2 linked regions of the Oryctolagus cuniculus genome follow. The main gene of each other region encodes a partner of the protein of the gene in region 2 in a complex. Links are inferred from orthologs where the notes say so. Each region holds a gene or a part of one and is shown on either strand. Other genes may lie near its edges.

Region 1 (4,417 bases), on a different chromosome or scaffold from region 2:
CTGCCATCGGATCAGTGCGGTGTGCCGGCCACAGTGCGCCAGCCATTGAAGGGTGAACCAATGGCAAAGGAAGACCTTTCTCTCTCTCTCTATCTCACTGTCCACTCTGCCTGTCAAAAAGAAAAAAAAAAAAAAAGCTACCAGGGAGGACCCTGTTCAGTCTGACTCATGACGGGCTCAGGGGGAGGAAATGGAGTAAGGAGACCCAGCCGAGCAAGGACAAAGCTGCCTGTTTCCGTCCTACCCGGCAGGTGAGATGCACACAGTGAAAGGTGAGATGCACACAGTGAAACCCAGGCTTGCCGAGAGCTTCCTGTCCACAAGTTCCTTCCAAGGAGTTAAGAGTGGGTGGGGGAAGGAAAGTTGGCACACAGGCTCACAGAAATGAGCTAATCCCCCCGCTCAGCGCTTCCAGGAGAGCTACTTCACAGGCAGGGGGGAAGATGGGACAGGCAGCACAAGCAAACGGGGCCTGGGAGGAGGGGCTGGGGGCCTCGGGACGCTGGTCAGGGGGCAGAGCACAGGCAGGAAGGCCCTGGGTACGCGGCACCCACATTGCTGCTGAGGGGCCCAGCCTGCATTCCCACAGGTGCAGCGCAGGGAAGTCGGGGGGCTTGGGGCCAGGGTCTGCGAGTCCAGGAATCCACTGGCCATGGCTAGCAGATTAAACGTTCCCTGGGCTCACGAAGTCTTCTCTACCAGCAGCCATTTCAGAACCGCTGAAACCCACTGGCGGTCTCTCTGGAGTGGCTTCCTTGGCTTCTCAAAACAGGCAGACTGTGCTGGACAGAGCTAAGGTTGTAGAACTTGGGGTGTCATTCTGTTCGCATCTCAAAAATCTGAAAACCTTGCATTTAAAAACATACCACTGGGGCCATTGCTGTGGTAGTGGGCTAAGCCTCCGCCTGCAGTGCCGGCATCCCATATGGGCGCCAGTTCGAGTCCCGGCTGCTCCTTTTCCCATCCAGCTCCCTGCTATGGCCTGGGAAAGCAGTAGAAGATGGCCCAAGTGCTTGGGCCCCTGCACCTGCGTGGGAGACCTGGAAGAAGCTCCTGGCTCCAGCTTCTAATTGGCTCAGCTCCAGCTATTGTGGCCATTTGGGGAGTGAACAGAGGATGGAAGACCTTTTTCTCTGTCGCTCCCTCTCAAATAAATAAATAATAAAATCTTAAAATATATATACCATTTAGGAGCAGGCGTGGCAGAGCAGGTTAAGTGGCCACTTGGGATGCCCACATCCCATCGTCAGAGTACTGGGTCAAGTCCCGCCCCTCCACTTCTGATTCAGCTTGCTGTCAATCATCCTGGGAAGCAATAGATGATGACTCAAGGACTTGGGTCTCTGCTACCCACGTGGGAGACCCAGATGGAGTTCCAGGCTCCTGGCTTCAGCCACCTGGTCCAGACCCGGGCTGCTGTGGGCACTTGGGGAGCAAACCAGCAGATGGAAGACCTCTCTTTCTCCCTCTGTTGCTACGTCTGACTGAGGCTCAGGCAGATGGGATAAGGAGCCTGTCTCAAGGGCAGAAGGGGTTCTTCCCAGCACTGGGATGGGGAAGCAGCTCAGGGAAGGTACGCAGGGCACGTGAGCACGGACACGTGGGGAGTGCTCGGGCTGCCTGTGTCCCGGGGCAGCCCCGTGGGGCCCCGCCCCCGGCCTCACAGGCTCCTGGATCTGTGTTGCCAAGCGGGAGTAGGATGGTCCCACGGCCTCAAACCAGTGCCCCTGAGACATGAAGAGACCAAGAGTGAGAAATGAGAAGCTGCACGTGAGTGTGTGCGCACCGAGAGGTCGCAGACAGAGGGGTCGGGGGGAGCACCCGGAGGACTCTCCTCGGTGGTTGGAGGGGTGGTGGTCGGAGGGGTCGGGGAGCCCAGGGGGACTCTCATCGGTGGTGGTCGTTGGGGTCGGGGAGCCCGGGGGGCTCTCCTCGGTGGTCGGAGGGGTGGGGTGGGGGGCCCCCCAGGGGTACTCTCATGGTGGTCTCTTGGGCGTGCCCTCGCTAGCAGAGAGGCGGATCACGTGGGTGTGAGAAGGCTGGGCTGCCTGAGGGCAGTGCTGCTGCTGGCAGCTGCGGGACACAGCCTGGCTGTACGTGGGCTCCAAGTCCCTTCTCCACCCGGGGCCTCCGTTCCCCGTCCGTGACGTGCGCTTTACAGTTGCAGATCCGAAGCAGGTGCACAAACGAGAGGAGATAAGAAAACTGCTATGTCTTTTAAAGTCTGCGCTGGGAGGTGGAGAAGCCAGGGGAAGGAAGACGGTTAATGGGGGCTCAGGTGCCCGGGTGCGATGTTTTCCCGGGGACCAGAGAAAAAGTGGGGGACAAGGCCAGACTGGAGATGCGCTCCCAGGAGAGCGAGTCCTAGGAGCAGACGGGGGTTGGCTGGGGGTCTCCTACAGAGGGGAGGAGGCCCCTTCCTCGGCAGGGCTCCCCTTCGGACCCAGTGCGGCCGCTCAGCGAGTGGGGCGGGAGGCGGCGGGGCGCACAGCCCAGGACTTGCCCGGGGCTGGGGTTGCCGACCCAGCGTGACTCGCCCTCATTCCAGAACTACACAAGCACCGCCCGAAGCGGACCTCAGAGCGGCCCCAGGGGTCCAAAGACCCGAGAGAGTGCGCACGGTGGGGGGAGGGAGGGGGCTCCGGAGTCCGAGGGAAGAAAATGGGGACCCCGGCCCCCGGCAAGCAGGGGTTCCGGGACCGAGAGACAGGTGTCCCGGAGCGGAGTCGCTCTCGCCCGCCCGCCCCGGCCCCGCGCTCACTGTCCATGCCGGGGAAGGGCAGCGGCTGCGCCCCGAGCTGCTGCTCCACCGCGATCTCCAAGTCGAACTTAATGTGGTCCACGCTAGCGATGATCTCCTGCATGGCGGCGGCGGCGGCCCCCCGGCCCGACTTCCTCTCAGGTCTTTCGCTGCCCTCACTCCTCCACCCGCCGCCGGCCCCAGCCGCACGCAGTCCGCCTCCTCCGCCTCCGCCTCGCCGCCGCCACTGCCGCCACCGCCGCCGCCACCACCGCGCGAGGGATGCCGGGAGCGCCCGAGCCCGCGCCGGTGCTTTTGCACGTCCAGACCCGGCCAATCGAGAGCGGAGGACGACCGCTCTGCCAGGCCCGGCTAGCCGCCCGCCGAACGCAGCGCCTCCCTTCCCCTCGCCTGGCCGGTAAGCCGAAACCCCCGCGCGTGGGAGCTTGCGACGCGGACTGCGCATGGGCGAGGCTCCGCGGGGCGCGTGCTTCTGGCGGAGGGTGACCCACAGGGGAACCGGGCCGGTTCGGCACGCGGGACTGGGCCGCGTGAGGCCGGGTCCCTGGGGCCTGGGGCCCGCGACCCCTACGCTTGGGAGTTCCCATGGGTCCTCACAGCGGCCCGGGGACCCGAGCCTAGGGAGGCCCGGGGGCGTCGGAGGAAACCGGGGTGAGAGGGGGCCGGGGTGACCAGGGGGCCGGGCGAGCGTCTGGGAATGCGGGGTCCGAGGGAGGACGGCGGCCGCGGGGCTCTCAACCCCGGGGGTTTTTAACCTGGGTGCGTTAGTGGACTTGGGTGGGAACAAAATTGCCCTTTTTATTCGTTTTCTCGATGTGAGATCGAGCATTGATTGCATTTAGTTGATTGACAGAGCAGCTGGGGTAGGGCCCGAAACCGTGTCATTTCGAGGGGGGCTGAGGGTCCATGCAGCTCGCTCACGCTGGAAAACCATGGAGGGACACAGAGCATAGTGTAAAATGCCTCTTTCTATATCTAGGTATTGTTTTGCTGATTCTATGTGATTTATTTATTTTTTTCTTTTTTAAGATTTATTTAGTTATTTGAAAGTCAGAGTTACAGAGACAGAGAGAGAGAGAGAGAGGCTTCCATCCGCTGGTTCACTCCCCAATTGGCCGCAACAGCCGGAGCTGTGCTGATCAGAAGCCAGGAGATAAGAGCTTCTTCCAGGTCTCCCACTCAGGTGCAGGGGCCCAAGGACTTCTACTGTTTTCCCAGGCCATAGCAGGGAGCTGGATCAGAAATGGAGCAGCCAGGACTCGAACTGGCGCCCATATGGGATGCTGGCACTGCAGGTGGCAGCTTTACCCGCTATGCCACAGCGCCGGCCCCTATTTTTTTCATTGTTCACGATTTATTTTTGTTTTTCAAATTACTTTTTTTTTTTTTTTGACAGGCAGAGTTAGACAGAGAGAGACAGAGAGAAAGGTCTTCCTTTTCCGTTGGTTCACCCCCCAAATGGCCGCTACGGCCGGCGCACCGCACTGATCCGAAGCCAGGAGCCAGGTGCAGGGCCCAAGGACTTGGGCCATCCTCCACTGCACTCCTGAGCCACAGCAGAGAGCTGGCCTGGAAGAGGGGCCACCAGGACAGAATCCGGTGCCCAGACTGGGACTAGAACCCAGTGTGCCGGCGCCGCGGCGGAGGATTAGCCTA
Region 2 (4,357 bases):
TCCCCCATCCATCCCAACACCACGATCCCGACACAGGGCCTCCCCGCTGCACATCTGGGCTTCTTGCTGTCTTCGCCTCCAGTCTTTCCTCCCTACCCACATGCTGCTGCCAGATCAGTCTTCAGAACCAGCCCTATACACCCATTTCTCCTTGCTCAGAAAACTCCGCCGACTTCCTACTGCTTCAAAACAAATACCTAAACACCTCAGCGGGCAATGGAGGCTGCTGGGCAGCCGCCCTGACACCACGGCTCCCATCACCTCTCACGCTCCAGCTGAAATGCAGCTTCCTCTGATCCCCCACCGTTGAGTCTGGACCAGAAGACTCCATCCACAGAAATACAATGCACGTCACAAGTGTAACTAAACATTTTTTCACAGCCACATTGAGAAGTTAAACATGAAGTCTCAGTCTTTTATTTAGCCCATTTAACCAAAATGTTACCATTTTAACATGTATCCATTATTAAAAATTAGTGCTATTTTGCTCTTCTGTTTTTTATATCAAGTCTTCAAAATCTAGTGTGTATTTTACATTTATGGCACATCTCCATTGGAACCATCTTGGGGTTGCCATTGTGGCACAGCGGGTAAAGCCACCACCTGTGACACTGGCCTCCTATATGGACTCCGGTTTGATTTACAGCTGCTCCACTTCCAATCTAGCTCCCTGCTAACAACCCAAGAGCTTGGGCCCCTGCACCCATGTAGACTCTCAGAAACCCCTGGCTCTAGCCCAGTTCAACCCTGGCTGGTACGGTCATCCAGGAAGTGAACCAGGAAGTGAACCAGCAGGTGGAAGACAGCTCTGTAACTCTTTCAAACAAATCAACAAGAACTAACTACATCTCAAGCCCAACAGCTACAGGCAGCTACTGTAGTAGCGCAGGCCTACCCTCCACAATGGGTGCTTGAGCAGTAACCACTGGGCTCCTGCCTCTTCTCGGGGGCAGGGTGGGCCCACTCTAGTTTCCTGGGCATGTTTTGCTGTGTTTTGCTGGCATCACCAACCAGTCAGTCTCCCACACTGAAACCCCGAGTCCCTCCTTGCGGAAGCTGGCGGTCACCAGCTGAATCCCACTTGACCCTAGTCCGACATCCTTTAATGTCCTACCTCAACAGAGGCCCTCATTGCCTTACCTGGAAGACTGTAACTTACTCGCCCGTTTTCCTGTTCCAGGCTGAACCTCCATAGCTGCCAGAGACCATCCTAAAAAGCAAATAACCTCACTTCCACTCCTGGTGCGAGGCACTCACTGGCTTCCTGCTAACTGCTGAAAAAAATCTAAACTCCTTGGTTGGAAATCAAGGCCCTGCACAAGCTGATCTCAACCTGCCTCTTGCTTTGCCAGCCACCTGGCACAGCACACACACACTCCCTAAATACGCCAAATATTCTCAAGTCTGCATCCCTGAGCTAAATCCAGAAATGACCTTCTGAGCTTAGCAAATTTCTTTTACTCTTTTGTGGCCAAGTTCAAACAATGAGTAATTCATGGAGCTTGGTTATTGTTACTTTGAGACAAAGGGACTATTGTTGAATGCATAAAGGCATCACCTTTGTATTTCCAATGCCAGGCACAGTGCTCAAAGCAAATACAAATGTGTCCTGAGAGAGGGATGAACCCTCACACTTGGAAGCTCCCCCAGGGCGGGGACCTGACAGCGACTCTGGGTCTCTATCACTGTTATGTGGGCTCTCAGTAGGGACCAGGCAGGTTGGTGGCGGCTATGGATGTGTGCAGGATCCAAGAGAAAACGGAGATGGGGCCGAAGCTGCAGCACAGACGGTAAAGTCTCCTCCTGCAGTGGGGGCAGCCCATCAGGGCACCAGTTTGTGTCCTGGCTGCTCCACTTCCAATCCAGCTCTCTGCTATGGCCTGGGAAAGCAGTGGAAGATGCCCAAGTCCTTGGGCCTCTGCACCCACGTGGGAGACCCGGAAGAAGCTCCTGGCCTCAGATCGGTCCAGCTCCGGTTGTTAAAGCCATTTGGTGGTGAACCAGAGGATGGAAGACCTCTGTCTTTCCCTCTCTCTCAAATAATAAATCTTAAAAAAAAAAAAAAAAAAAAAAGAGAGAGAGAGAGAGAGAAGAAAAGAAAGAAACGAGACAGTAAGCCATGGAGTGCAACGCCTCTTCCTGGTCAGTGCAGGGCGAGCGGCGGCTTCATCCCAGGGGACAGGACTCGAACACAAGTGAGGGCTGGCTCAGGGTCGCCTGGTCACAGGAGCCCAGACGTGCGGGGGCCACAGCCCCTCGGACGCCTCGTTTTCTGAGGGCCTTGTCAACAGAGAGAAAGAGGTCCCGGGAAAGGCGGCAGCGAAGGTGCAGGCGCCCGGGGCGAGCCGCGCGCCACCGCCGTCTGCGAGCACACCTGCTCTGCGCCCTAGGCTCGGCGGCCTCGTGGCCCTTCGGCCCAACGCCGCGGGAAGGCCCTGAGCCGAGGGGCTGCGAACGGCGCGCGCCCGAGCCCCGAGGCCCAGGAGCCAAAGCTGGCGTCAGGCGAACTCCTCCGGCGCCGAGAGGCCCCAAGGACCGAGGGAAGCCGAGCGGGACGGCGGCGGACCCGACAGGCCGGCGCGGAAGACCCGGGAGCGCTACAGCCGTAGGCAAGGCGCTGCTGCTCCTCCGTCCTTGTGCCGGGAACCACCGGACAGCCGCATCGGAAGCCGCGGGAGCTCGTCCTCGGAGGAGCCGGGTCCTAGCTGCAGCCCTGTTGCCCCGGCGCGCTTAGGACGCCTCCTCCCCCATCCAAAGACTCATGCCTTTCTCCCGCCCTCACTTGCCTCGTCAGGCCTCCCCCAACGGCGTCCACTAGGGCCCTGCCCAACCCCTAGTCGGATCCAGGCTCAAGAGGGACAAAAGCAGACGTTCGCTCAGCTGCAACCCCGACGCCCGGCCAGCAAGAGCCCCGCAGTGGCGGCCGCCATTTTGAAACCGGAGGCGCGGAGCCGAGGGGGAAGATCCAGGGTGATACCACCCGGGCCGGGGAGGGGGGGAGTCGAAGCCGTGGGAAGGCGGTGGCGCCGACGCCGACAGATCACGTCACCTCGGGCCGAAGTTCCGTCAGAAATTATGGTTGGTGTCCGAAAGCTTTAGAAAAGTAACAAAGAATCACGCCCAGAAAGGAAGGCGAGGTATGTGTCGCCGGCCGCCACCCCTCTCCTCCGTCCGCGCGCGGCGAATGGCACGTCCCGAGGTCGCAGCTTCCGCCGGCGCCGCTGGCTGTGCGGGTCGCTGCCCTTGGCGGTGGGTCGTGCTGGGCGCCGGCGCCGCAGGTGGGTGCGGGTGCGGGTGCGGGGGTCCCGGGGGGCGCGGTTCCGCCGAGCCGGGTGGAGCGGGTGCGGCGGGTTCTAGGAAAGCCTCGGCGGTGGTCCGTGCTCGCGGTCGGGTGGCCTGGGCCTTCCCGGCGCCTCCGAGCCAAGGTGACGGAAAAGGAGAGGGGATAGGGCTTTTGAGGGGACGACAGGCTTCGTCCGCGGCTGTCGTGACTGGGAAATGTCTTTAGCGGGGGCCCGGTGGCCGCCCCGCTGCTGGACGCGGGGACACCGGCGGGACCGCATGCGGGGGCCCGCGGAAGTGCGTGACGGCCGCTTGGCCTGTGTGTCCCGGGCGGCCGAGGCTCAGCGCTCCGTCTGCTCGCCTGCCTCGCTCCCTTCTGCTTCTTAAAGCCTTAGGTGTGTCACGTTCGTGCTCGGTTGCTAAGGTGCGTGTCCTTCCGTGCCCCAGGAGCTCAGTTCCTCCATGCACTCAGCACTTTGCATTGGTAAATTGAAACTTTCTGGGCAAAACACAGGGTGTATATATATATATATATATATATATTTGTATGTATATGTATATTTGTATATATATGTGTGCATCAAGAGTTTGAAGTGATTTAAAAAACAAGAGACAACGATGCCAGGTGGTTTTTTTTTTTTTTTTTTTTTTTTTTAAGATTTTATGTATTTATTTGAGAGGTAGAGTTAAGACAGTGCAAGGGAGAGACAGAAAGAGGTCTTCCATCTGCTGGTTCACCCCCCAAATGGCCACTACAGCCGGAGCTGTGCTGATTAGGAGCCAGGTGCTTCTCCTGGTCTCCCACACGGGTGCAGAGGCCCAAGCACTTGGGCCATCCTCCACTGCCCTCCCGGGCCACAGCAGAGAGCTGGGCTGGAAGAGGGGCAGCCAGGACGGGAACCGGCGCCCATATGGGATGCTGGCGCCGCAGGCGGAGGATTAACCTAGTGTGCCACAGCGCTGGGACCCCAAGATGGTTTTCTTTTAAAAGCAGGGCCAAAAAAACTGGGTTAAAAAAATTTTTAGGAAAATAAGATTAAAAACTTAAAAGGTAACCAATGAGGTTAAGATAAAC

The links.
Region 1: CPSF2 (region 2) and CPSF4 share a complex: the UniProt entries of both Homo sapiens proteins name them as parts of the cleavage and polyadenylation specificity factor (CPSF) complex. The link is inferred for Oryctolagus cuniculus from reciprocal best matches to the Homo sapiens genes CPSF2 and CPSF4.

Annotation. Positions count from the first base shown.
Region 1 is NC_091450.1:41,650,055-41,654,471, reverse strand, and holds the start of CPSF4 (cleavage and polyadenylation specificity factor subunit 4), read right to left. Parts: upstream 3,024-4,417; 5' UTR 2,865-3,023; coding exon 2,762-2,864; intron 1-2,761. UniProt on the Homo sapiens protein: Component of the cleavage and polyadenylation specificity factor (CPSF) complex that play a key role in pre-mRNA 3'-end formation, recognizing the AAUAAA signal sequence and interacting with poly(A) polymerase and other factors to bring about cleavage and poly(A) addition.
Region 2 is NC_091451.1:37,371,050-37,375,406, reverse strand, and holds the start of CPSF2 (cleavage and polyadenylation specificity factor subunit 2), read right to left. Parts: upstream 2,927-4,357; 5' UTR 2,787-2,926; intron 1,163-2,786; exon of another isoform or gene 1,141-1,162; intron 1-1,140. UniProt on the Homo sapiens protein: Component of the cleavage and polyadenylation specificity factor (CPSF) complex that play a key role in pre-mRNA 3'-end formation, recognizing the AAUAAA signal sequence and interacting with poly(A) polymerase and other factors to bring about cleavage and poly(A) addition.